2 linked regions of the Elephas maximus indicus genome follow. The protein of the gene in region 2 interacts with the protein of the main gene of each other region in a pairwise test. Links are inferred from orthologs where the notes say so. Each region holds a gene or a part of one and is shown on either strand. Other genes may lie near its edges.

What was found. The genes of interacting proteins can lie anywhere in the genome.
Region 1: the proteins of TRIM39 (region 2) and UBTD2 interact in a two-hybrid assay, tested with the Homo sapiens proteins (2 studies listed by BioGRID and IntAct). The link is inferred for Elephas maximus indicus from reciprocal best matches to the Homo sapiens genes TRIM39 and UBTD2.

What each region holds. Positions count from the first base shown.
Region 1 is NC_064820.1:191,267,449-191,275,895, forward strand, and holds the start of UBTD2 (ubiquitin domain-containing protein 2), read right to left. Parts: upstream 3,167-8,447; 5' UTR 3,022-3,166; coding exon 2,952-3,021; exon of another isoform or gene 813-2,951; coding exon of another isoform or gene 803-812; intron 1-802.
Region 2 is NC_064819.1:90,747,129-90,755,421, forward strand, and holds the start of TRIM39 (E3 ubiquitin-protein ligase TRIM39), read left to right. Parts: upstream 1-4,623; 5' UTR 4,624-4,708; intron 4,709-6,778; 5' UTR 6,779-6,785; coding exon 6,786-7,238; intron 7,239-8,269; coding exon 8,270-8,293.

The DNA of each region.
Region 1 (8,447 bases), on a different chromosome or scaffold from region 2:
GTGCAAACTCCAGCATCGCAATGTCATCATCATAAGGTAGAGAGCCACCCAGAATACGCCATCTAAATATATCAAAATAACTGGAAACCTAGAAGCATGATAGCTTGGAGAGAGCTGTTAAATAATCTTGCATAACCTCTCTGCTATATACCTGTTTTGGCTAAAATTAGGCATTTAAAAAATGCTCAAAGTAGCTGAAATTCAAAAACTGAATTCTAGGCAAGTTATGCCAGGAGAAGATACTACAAATGATTCCAAAATAATAGATAACACAAATCTTATCATTTGAATTAAGCCATCTCCATATTCAACAGTCTCCTGCAAAAATTTCCCCCATTCTTTCAAAGTAATCCAGCTAATAAGGAAGCTTTTCACAATCTACACTTGATCATTTGCATATATAACAGACTTGGATCCAAAAGGAAACTACACTATTTCAACTGGCCAAAAAGGTTAACAAAAAAAAAAAAACAGTAATTTTTTTAACTAAGACTGGCTGATATTCAGAAAGGGTTTAACCAATTGTAAAATGAGTCACATGATCAATACACAGGAAGCATCCAAATTTTTACCATTTTAAATCTTTCATGAAAAGCATCTGAAAAATATATTTTACTCCTTGTTGATAGAATTGTCATAACCTGTTACATCCAGATTAAAACTACTAACCATGTTTGTTATGCTTGAAAAGCTAAAGCTCTGTGCTAACACCCTTAGGAAAAAGTCTGCCTTTTCCCAACAAAAACATTCTATATAGTACGCAAGAACTACTTAACATAATATGTTAACCTGGAACACTCACCTGAGCTCATTCTTTTAAACAATTAACTCTCAAAACTCTGGTGACATAGTGGTTAAGAGCCACATCTGCTAACTGAAAGGCCGGCAGTTCGAATCCATCAGGCGCTCCTGGGAAATCCTCTGGGGCAGTTCTACTCTGTCCTGTAGGGTCACTACGGTTGGAATCGACTTGACGACAACGGGTTTGGTTTGGGTTATCATGACAGTAACAGAAAATAAAGGCTTCCATAATTAAATTCCAAAATTAACCACTTTATCTCACACAGCCCCTCCCCCAGGGTCACCCCTCTCTCCAGAAGAAAACAAAGAGATTGGCTGATGATTAATGTGTCTTTTCCCAAACTTTACTTCAGAAAAGTGGAGCATAGCTTTCCTTCCCAAGAACTCAGCCCTCCAAGATACTGACACTATAGCTATGTAAGTGGACATTGTTGGTAATATATTACCCAAATCTAAGGCTTCATACTATTAAAAGCCCATGCAAATAATGTTTGGCTGGTCTTAAATCACACTAACAAAAGGTTTAAATAAATTGGTTCAAGTTCATTACTAAGGGAAGAAAAACTGGGTAGAATTTTAAACTAGAGTGTTAAGAAAATATTTTTAATTAAAACTAAATACTGCCTATAACAAATACTAATAGGTTTCAGAACAATTAATGATCACCTCAAGGAGGAAGAACTTTTTTGACGCCAATTTGACCCAAGGCTGTTTTAAATCAGGACCCTTTTATTTTCCTGTTTGCTACTGAGGATCTAGTTGTTAATGTGTCACCAAAAAATAATGCAACGACATGAAATGCACTATAGTGTTTTCACGAACTTTTTTTTTTTTCCAAGACACCCTTCACTGAGCTCTCAAATTATTCGCTCAGGATTTAGTCATACGGATACTCACAGATTTTAACAAAGTGGCATGGCTAAAAGTCACATCCAGTAGTTCAGGAAACTCATCGGCTTAAATCTAAGTGCATACGATTTACAGACAACTTTTTTTAAGTGACTGGACAAGCAACTGATCTAAATGTCAGTATGTTAAGAAAAAGTTGTACACCCTCTCACCCTCGTCAATTTAGTTTAGGAACTTCTCTCTATACAGCTCGTTATTCTGAGACATCTAACATCGAGTCCGTACAAAACCTTTGTTATCTTTGCCACCCCTGAGCAGCTGTTTATTCTTTAATTAAAGCATTCTAACCTCTACTAATCACAGCATGAACACGGCAAAAGATTACTTAGCTCGAGTACTGGTGAAATGAATTGTATTATGACATCCCATACGACAACACCGATTGAATTAAAACACCTCTCCCCTGCCAACTGCTGTTTACAAGAAAGTAGAAGTGCGTTCCGTGTTCGAAAATTTAATTTAAAAGTACTGGTCCTACTCGGTTAAGTCAGACTCTTATGCATCTGCACTTTTATCCTACATATTTTCCTTTACGTAACACTGATCGGAATTTGAGTAGCCCACCCCGACAGCAAACTGGCCCGAAAACTCCATCCTGTTGCAAGAAAAGCCACGTTTTACTCGGGCAGATCGTTTCCTCTCTCCTCCTTAAAATAATGCCTGTGGCCACTTGAGACTTCCCCAGTCGAGCTCCAGAAACTTGCAGGTTTAAATGGCCAAACTGGAACCAACCAGGGCAGCTGTCATCTGAAACTCAGGAAAGCTGAGACCGGCCAACTCTGCTGAACAAGGAAGGGTGCGGAGAGATGTGGCGGGGCCAGTCGGAGGGAAGGCATCAGGCTCCCCGCCCCCTCCCCCCTCCGCCCCATCAATTCGCTTTTCTGCAACCCCAGCGCCGCCATCCTGTTCCTGAATAATTAAACGGGCTGGAGACGGAGCGAGGTGGCCAGAAAGGCAGTTTCTGGTCCGAGTTTTCCGAGCCGAGGCGGTGGGGTCGGCGAGGCCCGGGGCTGCATCTCCACGCGCAGACTTTTCCCCGGGGCTGCGGAGGAAAGGGGGCAACCCCCGAGGCCGGTGGGGCAGCCGGAAGCGGGACGCGGGGAGTGACGTGCACGAGGGGATGACAAAGGGGCGCGGGGGCCCCGGCTGCGCCGCCCGCGGGCCGGCAGGGGGTCGGGACAGGTGGCCGGGCCTGGCCGGGAACAATGGGGGGCCGAGGCTGCCCCCTGGCGCTCACCTACCTCCGGTGCCTTCCGAGTTCTCGTTGAGGCTGCCCGAGGAGTCGTGCTGGGCGCCCACACACCCGCCCATGGGGGCACCCGGCGCCTCGTCCGCCACCTCCGGGCGCTCGTCCGGGCCCGCCGCCGCCTCAGCCTCCTCCGGCGCCGACGCCGCCGAGCTCCGGACAGGCGCGCCGCTCCGCTCGCCCGTCGCGGCCCAGCCTCCGCCCCCCTCGCCGCTCCACCCACCGCCTTAGCTCGGCCCCTTCCTCCGCGCCCACTTCTACCTCAGCCTCCCGGCCGTCCGCCCGCCAGGCCTGGCCCGCGCGCCGCCCTCGCCTCCGGCTCGGTCCCGCCAGGCCGGGGCTGGCCCATCCCGGGCGGGCCCCAGCGCCCGACTCGCTCCCTCACAGCCCCGCACGCGTGCGTCCGGGCGACCCCCGCGCCGACGCCGCCCGTCCGCCAGGCCCCATCGGTTCCCCGCCCCGCGGCGCCGCCCTCCAGCTCCGCGGCCTGGGCTCTGCCTGGCCCGCCCGGAACGGCCGGGAGGGGGCGTGGCCTCGGGAGGCCTGCGCTCTGATTGGCTGCGGGAGGCTGCGAGGGGTGTGGAAGGGGAGAGAAAGAGGCGAAGGGGGATCAGTCCCAGGAAAAGAGGAAGGGAAAGGGGGAGAGAAGGAAGACGGGAAGAGGACAGGAAAGGGGGGAAGAGAGATGTAGCAGGAAAGGATGAACAAACGTGAGAAATGAGAACAAAGTCGAGTTTCTGGCTTCTCGGACGTCTGCTCTTTATCTTTCTGGTAGAAGCGGGTCGGGAGTGGGCCACAGAAAATAATGGAAGACTCGCAGATGAGGGCTGGCGATTTCCCAAATAGCTGGAGGGAGGGGCGGTTTTCTGGCTCAATGCTGAGGTCCCAGCACCTTTTGGAATCGTGTAGAGTTCAGTTGGGTTGGTATCTCAAGTCTGGGCTTCCACTTACCGTCCGTATCCCTACACCCCCCCCTTAAATCACTGTGTCCCCGTATTAGAGTCGGAGAGGGAGGCTGTCACTATGATTGCAGACTGGACTCAGATTACCGAGGTGGGGCATCCCGTGTGGGGAGAGATAAGACTGACCACAGTTCAGGGGGCGTGGGTTTGTTTCATTTTCACAGGGATGATTGTGAAGACACAGTACTGCTTCTCCAGATCCTGCCTTTAGGTACCTTAAGTAGTTGTTAGAGCAACGTGGAGTATAAATAAAATTAGCCTGCGTTTTTAAAACTAGAATGTGGTCCATTGACCACACCCCACATTCTTGGCCTTTGCTCTTCCAATCTAAGCCAAATTGTTAATGGCCCCTACAGAATTGTGCTTCCTTTGATGCCTCATTGAAGGAGTCCTGGCAGTGCAGTGGTTAAGCGCTCGGCTGCCAACTCAAACGTCAGCAGTTGGAATTCACCAGCCGATGCACGGGAGAAAGACGTGGCAGTCTGCTTTCCTAAAGATGGCAATCTGTTTCCTGAACATTACAGCCTTGGGAACCCTCCGGGGCAGTTCTCCTCTGTTTTTTAGGGTCTCTATCGGGATCGGCTCTAAGGTAGTGAGTTATGATGTGTCATTAACAAAGTGCGATATGCGTAGGACACAACCTTGCTTGATGAAAGTGAAGAGGACTTGAAGCACTTATGATGGAGATCAAAGACCACAGCCTTCAGTATGGATTACACCTCAACATAAAACAAAAATCCACACAACTGGGCCAATAAGCAACATCGTGATAAATGGAGAAAAGATTGAAGTTGCCAGGGATTTCATTTTACTTGGATCCACAATAAACACCCATGGATGCAGCAATCAAGAAATCAAACAACATATTGCATTGGACAAATCTGCTGCAGAGGAACTCTTTTAAACTATTAAAAAGCCAAGATGTCACTTTGAGGACTAAGGTGTGCCTGACCCAACCCGTGGTGTTTTCAGTAACCTCATATCCATATGAAAACTTGACAGTGAATAAGGAAAATGGAAGAAGAATTGATGCCTTTGAATTATGGTGTTGGCGAAGAATATTGAATTTACCAAGGGCTGCCAGAAGAACGAACAAATCTGTCTTGGAAGAAGTACAGCCAGAATGCTGCTTAGAAGCGGGGATGGCAAGACTTCTTCTAGACTACTTTGGACCTGTTATCAGGAGGGATTAATCCCTGCAGAAGGACATCGTGCTTGATAAAGTAGAGGGTCGTCAAAAAAGAGGAAGACCCTCAACGAGATGGGTTGACAATCAGTGGCTGCAACAATGGGCTCAAACATAGGAATGGTTGTGAGGATGGTACAAGATCAGGCAGTGCTTCATTCTGTTGTACCTAGGGTGGCTATGAGTCAGAACTGACTCGAGGGCATCTAACAACATGGTTATCTTCATGTTTGGGCCTTTGTAAAGCTTATATCTAAGAGCTGTTTTAACTATCTGCTCCATTTTTCTTTCAGACTTTCTTTTTTTAACATCCTGGGTCAGCTTTTGCTTAGCATTTAAAAAAAAAAAAGCAACATTTTTTTAAGTGAAATACCTAAGAAAAGACACTGCAGTTGGAATTTGCATTTAAATATATTCTCATATACTGCTGGTGGGAGTGTAATTGGTTCAATCTTTTTGCAAAGCAATTTGGCAATGTGGATCAAGAGCCTTAAATATGTTCATACCTTTGACTTGGGATTATTCCACATCTGGGAAGCCAGCTCACAGGAAGAGTCCAAAATGCAGACAAAGATTTAGGTCCTTGTATTCATTTGCTAATCAGATAAAAATAAGGGTTAAACATACACAACACACAGGCCTCTACATTTATATTGAAGCACAAATGTCTTGTGAAAAATAGAAGTCTGCTGTATTAAACTTTTACTGAAGAATTAGCATTGTCCAAAAAAAAAAAAAATTTTTTTTTTTTCAACTGTAGCCATGAATCTTCAAAAAGAAATTACACACAATCGATGTTTTTATGAGTTTTCAGGGTGGCTCGTGAGATTCAGAAACTGTTCCACAAAGACTTCTATCTGATCATTCTCAGCTGAGTATTCACGTTGGCAGACAGACATCACTTCCCTGAAGGAGAGAAGCTGCAAGCTAAATCTTTTCAAAGAGACTGCTTTATCCTGAATTTTGCTTCAGAAATTGCAGAAACCAAGGCTGACTTCTACGATGTCTATTAAACAGATGGTAGGCAACCAAGCGATAAGTGCTTTCTGATGAGCGCCGTGGAGTTGGCACTAGGAAAGAGAGCAGTCTCATCCATTTTACAGATTCACAGCTACGAATGTTCTCCACCCTGTCTTCATCTTAAAGCAGAGAGACATGTTTCTAGGAAGCACAGTAGTACAGCAGTGAAAGGACCAGGCTCTGCTTTAAAACTTCCTGGGTTGGGATCCAGGTTCCATTATGTACTAGCTATGTGACCTTAAATTTCTATAGAGCTCAGTTTTCTCACCTATAAAGCAAGGTCAATAATAATAGCTCTGTGGGGCTCTTTATTAACTGTCCTGTCTGTATCATGTCTAGCATTATCGATCTAAACTTCCCAGCACGGCCCAATCCACTTAACATGTTCCCGTAGAGCCAGTGCTTTCTTGTGTGTGTCTGTTTTTTTAATAACAGCTTTATTGAGATATAATTCACATACCATATAATTCACTGACTTATAAAGTGATATAATTCAGTGGTGTTTAATATATTCACAAAGTTGTGCAACCATTACCACAATCAATTTTAGAACGTTTGCGTCATCCCAAAAGAAACCCCATACTCATCTCTCCCCAGTCCAAGGCAAACACTAGTCTATTTCTCTCTCTATGGTTCTGCCTATTCTGGACATTTCATATAAATGGAATCATACAGTGTAGCCTTTTGTGACTGGCTTCTTTCACTTTGCGTGTTTTCAGGGTTCAACCATGTTGTACCATCTATAAGTTCTTTTTATAACCATAAATGGAGTAATATTCAACTGTATGGCTATGCCACATTTTATTTATCCGTTAATTAGTTGATGGACCTTTGAGTTGCTTCCGCTATTATGAATAACGCTGCTATGAACATTTGTGTGCAAGTTTATGTGTGGATATATGTTTTCAGTTGTCTTGGGTATATACCTAGGAGAGGAATTGGTGGGTCATATGGTAACTCTAAAGTTTAACATTTTGAGGAACTGCCACACTGTTTTCCAAAGCAGCTACACTGTTTTACCTTACTCCCAGCAATGTATGAGCAGTCCAGTTTCTCTACATCCGCACCAACACTTGTTATTCTCTATCTTTTTTATTACAATCATCCTAGTGGGTGTGAGGTAGTACCTCAGTGTAGTTTTTATTTGCATTTTCCTAATGACCAATGATGTTGAGCACCTTTCTGTCTGCTTATTAGCCATTCATATATCCTTTTTGGAGAAATGTCTATCTGGATCCTTTGCCCATTTAAAAATACTTATCGTTGAGTTTTAAGAGTTCTTTGTGTATTCTAGGTAAAGACTCCTATTAGATATATGGTTTGTAATATTTTCTCCTACTCTGGGATGTCTTTTCACTTTCTTGATAGTGTCCTTTGCAGCACAAGTTTTTAATTTTGATGAAATCTGATTTATCTATTTTTTTTTTCTTTTATTGCTTTTGCTTTTGGATACATAGTTGAGAAATCATTGTCTAAAACCCGAGTCGTGGAGAATTATTCCTGTGTTTTCCTCTAAGAGTTTTATAACTTTTGCTCTTATGTTTAAGTTTTTGATCCATCTTTAGTTAATTTTTTTATATGGTATGAGGTAAGGATCCAGCTTCAGCCTTATGCATGTGTATATCCAGTTGTCCCAGCACCATTTGTTGAAAAGACTATTCTTTCTCAATTGAATTGTATTGGCACCTGTGCTCAGAATCAACTGATCATAAATTTGAGGGTTTATTTCTGGACTCTCAATTCTGTTCCTTTGATCTTTATATCTGTCTTTATGCCAGCATCATACTGTTTTGATTACTGTCATTTTGTAGTAAATTTTGAAATTGGGAAGTGTGAGTCCTTGAACTTTGTTCTCTTTCAAGATTGTTTCGGCTATTCTGGGTCTCTAACATTTTCACATGAATTTTAGAATCAGCTTGCCAACTTATGCAAAAAAAGGCAGCTGGGATTTTGATAGGGAACGCGTTGAATATGTAGGTTAACTGCCATGTTAATAACATTAAGCCTTCCAGTCCAGGTACATGTGCATCTTTCCATTTATTCATGTCTTAAATTTCTTTCAATGATGTTTTATGGTTTTCAATGTACAAGTTTTGACACTTCTTTTGTTACCATTAATAAGTCCTCTTTATCCATAAAATATATTCCGAGTCTGTCCACTTCTTCTCCATCTCTGCCCTCACCACCACCTCTTACTTTGGCTACCGTAATACTGTCCTAACTGGCCTTCTTGCATCCTCTTCTGCTTTCTCCTCCAATATATTCTCTACCTAGCAGCCTGACCCATGGATTTGGGACTTGCCAGCCCCACAATTGTGCGAGC
Region 2 (8,293 bases):
GCAACAATAAAGAACAATGATGAATCTGCAAAACATCTCACAACATGGGTGAATCCGGAGAGCATTATGCTGAGTGGAATAAATCAGTAACAAAAGGTGAAATATTGTATGAGACCACTATTATAAGAACTCAAGAAAAGGATTACAAACAGAAAAAAACATTCTTTGATGGTTACAAGAGTGAGGAGGGAGAGGGAGAGGAAATCACTAACTAGATAGTAGACAACTGTCAACTTTATAACATACAATATAGGGAAGTCAGCAAAACTTGACCAAGGCAAAGACACAGAAATTTCCTAGACACATCCAAACACCTCGAGGTACTGAGCTGCTAGGGCTGGGGACCATTGTCCTGGGGCACATCTAGGTCAATTGGCATACATAGTTCATAAAGAAAATGTTCTACATCCTACTTTGGTGAGTAGCGTCTTAAAACTTTGCGAGCGACCATCTAAGATACATCTATTGGTCCCATCCTGTCCAAACAAAGGAAAACCAAAGACACAAGGAAAATATTAGCCCAAAGTACTAAAGGATCACATAAGCCAGAGCCTCCACCAGCCTGGGCCCAGAAAACTAGATGGTGCCCGGCTATCACCACCAACCATGCTGACAGAGATCACAACACAGTCCCAGACAGAACAGGAGAAAAATGTAGAACAATACTCAAATTCATGAAAAAAGACCAGACTTACTGGTCAGAGAGAGACTGGAGGAACCCCTGAAACTATGGCCCCAGGACACTCTGCTAACTCAGAACTGAAACTACTCCCAAAGCTCACTTTTCAAACAAGGATTAGACATGCCTGTAAAACAATAATACATGTGAGTAAAGTGCTTCTTAGTTCAATCCAATATACGAGACCAAATGGGCAACGAGAAGGCAGGAAGGGAGAGGAATTGGACGAATGGACACAGAGAACCCAGGGTGAAAAGGGGGAGCAGAGGGACAGCATGCTGTCACATTGTGGTGATTGCAACCAATGTCACAAAACAATATGTGTATAAATTTTTGAATGAGAAACTAACTTAAGCTGTAAACTTTCATCTAAAGCTCAATAAAGTTAAAAAAAAAAAAAAGAAAGAAATGCCCATCTACTGACAAAAGGTTGAAAAATTATAGTACATGCAGAACAAGACCTATTATGCAACCAATAAAAGTACAAATCAAAAGTATTAGTAAAATTTTTTTAAATATCAAAAAGATCAGCATTGGCTCCCCTGTAGAGAAACACTCTCTTATAATATCCTAGTGTGGGTATAAGCAGGTACACTATAGAGGAACAAAACTATGAAAATTTAAAATTTCCATGCCATTGACACAGCAATCTACCTTCCAGGAATTTGTCCTACAAATATAATGGCGTGACAATCTAAAGACAGATGTGCAAGGATGTTCACTGCAGCCTTTCTTATAAGAAGAGGACTTGGAAAGGACTTAAATGTCCACTAGTAATAAAATGATGGAATAAATTATATGTCTACACAATGAAGTAATAACACAAACTTAAAAATAATAAGGTCATTCTATATGGCTGAACTGGAAAGATAAAAGACAGCCAGGATATACCAAGTATAAAGAGCAGGCTGAAGACTGTTCTTCCTGTATGTTTGTAAATGTTTATAATAAAAAAGTGATGGAGGAAAATTAGATGCTTTTTCTGAATGAGCATCTCAGAAGTTCGCACAGTTGAACCCTGTCTCCGCTAGCCTACCGTTTATCTGACCTCTACTGTTTTCTGACCTACACTGCTAACATAGCCATTTTCTCTACTTGACTCAGCGGTTTCTCAAGATCTCTTCTCTTCTTTTCTGGAATAAATATTTAAAAACATATTTTAAAAACAAAATTTTAAATTACCCTCTTTTCTATTATGATAATTCATGCCTTAATACTCTTGTGGTGGAAATCCCTTGGTATAAATCAACATAAAAACCCAATGTTATTTCACCTCTTGTGAACTACAACCCCTTTTAAGAAAGGAATACCCTTGTTTAAAGAATGCACTTGTATCCTAGTACACTCATAAGTCTCAGAAGACCAAGTTTCACGAGGTCATAACAAATAGTGTTAAGATCTCAGATTCACTTTATTACCATTTGTGTATTATAAAAAGTGTATTATACAGACATGAAAATAAGAGATCACAGCACCGTGTTCACCCTAATTCTCAATTCTCTCTTCAAAATTACTGCGCACTTATTATTCCACACCAGGCTACAGTCTGCCACCTGTTTTTCTACGGCCTAAAAGGTAAGAAAATTTTTTACATTTTTAAATGGTTAGGGAAAAAAAAATCAAAAGGAGAGTAATATCTCATGATACATGAAAATTACATGAAATTCAAGTTTCAGGATCCACAAAATTGTATTGGAACACACCTATTTAGCATTTTGTAATGCTGTTTTCCAGTTATAAAGACAGAGTTTAGTGGCAACAAACACCACATAGGCCTCAAAGCCAAAAATATGTCCTACCCAGCTTTTTACAGATAGCTTGGCAACCCTTGTTCTGTGCCATACTTCATGCCCTTTATATTTTATAGTTTTACCTACTCATTTCCCTCACTTTCCCTCGTTACTTAGCGTTAAGTCCCCTTAATAATCTGCTAGTCTCCAGGCAAGCAAATTCTTCAGTCTTGGAGAAGCAGTCCCTCCTGGGAACTTCTTTATAATCTAACCCACATTCCTAGTCCTTACAAACAGCAAGCCAGATAGAAGTGCTATTAACACCTTAAAAGTTACAATTAACAAATCAAAACCAGAGCAACTCTCACCAGCATCACTCTCCCTCCAAAAGAGGCTAAAGAGGCTGGTCCTCCAGCAACTCTCCCTTACAGTTGAGGTGTTTTGCAAATGGGACCAAGTACTGCTGCTAAAATAAGATCCGTAAGGATCAAATAGTAATGAGAAAAAAATGTTACTACAGGTAGTCCCCACCTTAAGACCGGGTTCAGATGACTGTCATAAGACGGTTCTGACATAAATCGAATTACCTTTTTTTTTTAGTTTCATTATTGCCTTTTATTATCAGTACAGTAACTTTTAAAACCAAATCTTCATTTGTCTTTGGGGGTTGGAAACGTTACATATAAACATCTGCAAGTGAACATCTAGGATGAAAACATCAGCAAACAACGTGTTGTAGCATTGTATACAGTGCATTTTACAAACAAGATATTAAAAAAAAAAAAAAGGAAGCGAGGCGTTGTTAAGTGCGGCTTTTCCTAACTCCAATCAGGGACTACCTGTAAATGTAATTTTCTCGTTTTCCTTCAAATCTTTGGCTACCGAAAAAAGTGAAAAGCAAAGGAACAATAAGAAAAAAGCAGACCAACTGGATTTAGCATGTGAGATCCTAAATATTTATACCTCGCTCATTTGATCATATTTTCTGCAAGTAAAAAATTCCTGGCTGTCAGGATGAGAGCTTAAATATTGCACGGTGTTTGTAAACAGCATCACAACTTACACTTGGGGCTAGCTGGTGGCATTTCCTCTCCAAGACGGAGGGTACAAACTGCTTTCTTTTCTACCAGCAGTCTCATACTCCACCTAGCACTAACTCCTCGACCGTTCCAGCCCCTCTACCCAGCACCTACTCCTCCCCTCCCCCATCACACCTCTACCCAGAGGACTCCTCCCCAGCCCTATCACACCTCTCTAGCCAGCGCCTACTCCTCCGGAAGGAGTCCTCCCCCAGACCCATCACACCTCTACCCAGCAGACTCCTCCTCAGCCCCATCACCTCACCCCCTTCCTCCAAAGTCACGTGCCTGCGGAGCTTCCAACTGCAGGAGAAAGGAAGGCTAAAATGCAAAGCCTGGAGTCCCCGAACAAGCGGAGAAACGCAAATCACAGTCCCAGACGTGCAAAGAACGGGCACTGGGTCTCATCAAGTTAACTAGAGTTTACGGAGCGTTTGCATCGGTCGGCCCCGAGCGAGGAGCTGAGGATAAAAAAGTGAACAGCAGAGACTTGGTACCACCGCTGTCTGGACTCTCATTCTAGCGACAGAAGCAGATCATTTCGACAAACCCAACAAAGCAGGGGCTGGACGAAGAGCTTTTGAAGCACTCGGCTTAGAGAACTCAAAAGACTGACTCTCAACCAGTCGGAAGTGACGTCCTAGCAGAGACCTGCAGGTCCGCCACGTAACTGGACGCCACCTCAACTAGCACTTTCTCCCGGACTGGCTTAAAGAGAGGAAAAGTGTGGCTGGACCACACCAACCTGCCCTTGCCCTACCGTTCCTGACCCCCCCCCCAAGGACCCACCAAGCCAGACCAAAGCCCGGGCCGCAGCCTGGACGGGAGAGCTGTTCCTGCCCCGGATCCCGTCCGGCGCCCTGCGGACAATGGGCTTCAGGATTCAACCATGCGCATGCGCGACCCTTTTTCTCCAGCGGATTCTTCTGGTCACCTGGACGCCGGCATCTCAGCCAACTGCCCCTCAGGGTCCCTTTACGCCCTTGACGCCTCCTGCCGGGTCTCACCTACGGCCCCATTCCTCCTTCTTCCGCAGGGACCGCTAAGCCCTCACGCGACCGCCTCCAGCCACCCGACTTCGACAGGAGCCTCTCCGCGCGGCGCGGCTTCCGCTTCCGGCGAGTATTGTGTGTCGCGCTGCGGGGCGGGGGGAGGAGGAAGGAGGGAGGCAGCGCTCCGGTGGCTCCGCGCCCCGCACTCCCGGACCCGAAGCCGGGAAGGTAGGTGCCGTCCCGCCGCCGCGCCCGTGCCCCGGGGCCTGTCCCGGCCGGCCGGCTCCGCCTGCCGCGTCCTAGTGACCCGCGACTGCGTCACCGGCCCCCTGCACGTAACTACAGCTGCCTCCGCCCGCCTCAGGCCCGGGCGGACGTTTTGCCGCCCCGGCGACGTCAGCGCGTCCGGCGTTGCTTGGCTACCCCGCCGTTCCCCCGTCCCGCTGCCGCTCGCCTCCCGCGGTGAAACTGAGCCGTCACCGCCGATCTCGGCTGCGTCATAGCGGCCGGCATCCCACCTTAACGTCACACCTCCAAACCTAGACACGCGTCCTTCCTTCCCCTGCCAGGCACGACGTTTCTTCACCCCACTCTCCAATCTCTTGCGCCAGATCTGGCGGGAGAAGATGGAGACGGGGGTGGGACAGAGTTGTGGACAGCGCTCAGGAGAGGGTTGCAAGATGGGACCTTGGACAGTGGTAGAAACACAATGAGGACGTCCCTGAAGTTTGCCCTTCCACTGAAACACGAGGAATAGAGAGAGGGGAAGGACTAACCCACAGGCAAGCGAGGCCTCAGGCGAGCTCTGAGTCCTCTCCATATTTCCCAGACCCTTTATCCATCTGTCTTTCACACCACTGTTCCGTTTTCTTTGCCAGTCTAGGTCTGTCCTGGCCCTTAACTGCATGTAATTCAACTCACTTCAGGTGAGAAGGCCACTTAGTTTCCAAGAAGATTGGGGAAAGGGCAGGTCACCAGTCAAAATTGGATTCCCGTGGTTAGAGAAAACTCATCTGACAGAACTCATCTAACGTTGGGGGGAAAATTCTAGTTCAGTTAAGTTATTGAGTCCCTATTCCAAATTAAACACTGTCGTATGTACTGTCAGTATATCAAAACCAAACCTGTTGCCGCTGAGTTGATTCCAACTCATAGCAACCCTGTATAATTGTTAATAGTTGTTAGCCCAATTCATTTCATGGCCACATCTATCTCAGCACATAGATCTGCTGAATTTCCTTCCTTCCATTGGATCCCTCGGGGTGATGGATGTGCAGTGTGGATATAGGGATAAACAAATGAACTTAACTTCTGGATAAAAGTGTTGCCATTCTACGGATGGAGTAGGGGACCAGCCTTCTGCTTTATAAATCTCTTTGCTGCATTTCCAGTTCTTTTGAGGCATCACTTGAGGGAGATTTTGATTGCCTATTTACTTTCTTTCTCTTAATCCCCAACCACTCCAGAACCTATTAGTTGAAGACACAGTATGTCCAGGGAATTAATTATGAATAGCTATCTTGAAAGACTGCAGTCATTGCTCAATATTTACAGTAGACTTATCAGCCCTCTTTTTAAAAGGTTATTGGTTTGAACTCAATAACGTACCCTTTAGTATAGTTGCCATAAATTTATCATTTTTCAGCAGTTCCAACTGTCCAAATGCCCACAAATAGAAGTGGGATGTTGTGTGAGTCATTTCATTTCAAGAATTTTCTCTAGGCTAGTCTGATAAAAGAATAATTTCAAACTTTCCTTTAAAAAGGAGATTGTTACCCTCACCTAACCCATTCCATTTATTACCCTTTGAAAGAATGAGAGAAGAGTGTCAGGGAATCAAGATTAGGCTTTATTAATACTTTGACTTTTATGGCAGTTTGCAGTTTCTCAAACTCCTTTCTCATCTATAAGAAAAATATATCAAGCTGGGGATACATTGGTCTGGAACTAATTGGTTCTAAGATACAAATGGGATGAACCTGATTAGGAGTATATTGGGCTAAGGTAGGAAGAAACCTCTGTTTTTAACAAGAGAAAGCAGACGGGAAATATTGAGGGATGAGTGTCAGTTTGCTGAAGAGGGGGAAAAAAAGATTAGGTTGATAGTTGGGAGTAAAATTTGGAAATGGAGAAAGAAAAGAGAGGTTGAATCAAGTGGGGGGAAAGATGGAGAATACCAAGATGGGTTAAAAGTGGGTGTAGGGTTTAATATGAGAGTAAATGTCAGGCCAGGGATGCAAGAAAATTAAACCTCCAACTAATATTTTTCTTTTCTCTGCCCCTCCTCCTATCCCCAAGTTAAATAATGGCAGAGACGGGTCTGTTAGAGGCTGGGGCCTCTGCAGCATCCACAGCTGCAGCTCTGGAGAACTTACAGGTGGAGGCAAGCTGCTCTGTGTGCCTGGAGTACCTGAAGGAGCCTGTCATCATTGAGTGTGGGCACAACTTCTGCAAAGCTTGCATCACACGCTGGTGGGAGGACCTGGAGAGGGACTTCCCTTGTCCTGTGTGTCGAAAAACGTCCCGCTACCGCAGTCTCCGACCCAATCGGCAACTAGGCAGCATGGTAGAAATTGCCAAGCAGCTCCAGGCTGTCAAGAGGAAGATCCGGGATGAGAGCCTCTGCCCCCAGCACCATGAGGCCCTCAACCTCTTCTGCTATGAGGACCAGGAGCCTGTATGTTTGATATGTGCAATTTCCCACACACACCGAGTCCACACCGTCGTGCCGCTGGACGATGCCACACAGGAGTACAAGGTGGGGAACCAGATGCATGATACCAACATGGGGAAAGAGGGCGAAGCAGCGGTGGATGGGAGACTCCCTGAGTAGAGGATTATAAATTCCTTGAGAGCAAGACTGCATCTGGTCTTCACTCTGTGATCCTCTCAGAGCTACACACACTGGGGGCCCAAGGTACTCCTGATCAACTCAATTATCCTCAAGTATGAAGAGCAGTGGTATGGAGGATCCAGAATTATACTCTTGACTTTTGCAACACATTTGAGTCTTAAGTGTGAATGTCTGTATGTGTGATCTTGGGACGTGTTATATTTTTCATAAATGAATGAAACCACATGGAGAAGATCTAACTTAGGAAGAATTGAACAGTGGTCTGGTTTCCTCGTTCTCTCCCCTTGCTCAGAATACCCCTTATTTCCCATGTATTCGGAGTAGGTAATACCACTTCTTTAGACTGATAATCCCCAGTCCATGCTGAACTAGTCTGTTGTTTGCATCTTCTCTAGTAATGGATAACATAGCATCTGGTATAACTTGCTCCTGGGACATGGTAGATATTTGAGTTATGGGAATTAGAGATTTCATTGTCTTAGCATGTTGTCACTTACTTTGCTAAATAATGTTGGAAACAAGATTTGAGGTAATTTACAGTATAAGCAATGAAGATTTTATTATTTTTATAGGTGGTCAGAGTTGGATGGAAGGACAGGTTTAAAGAAGGATACCAGGGTACAGAAGGTCACTTTGACAGCAATAGGCAGTTACATACTGTAAGAAAATGGACAGGATTGGGGAAGGACACAGAGGTTGGTGCCTGTTGGAAAGCTACGAGAGTGAGAAGAAAGTTGGGTGAGCAGAGATAACTTGGATAGGTTGGTGGCAGAAGGGACCAGTAAGAAATTGACACCCAAATGACAGGCAAGTAAGGGAGTTGGATCAAGTGATGGTGAGATGGGTAATAAGCAAACAAATGGATTGACCTCTGAATGAAGCATGTGCTAGCCAACCCCGATTGTTACCTTCCCACTGCCTCCCCCTCCCCTCAGGAAAAGCTACAGAAGTGCCTGGAC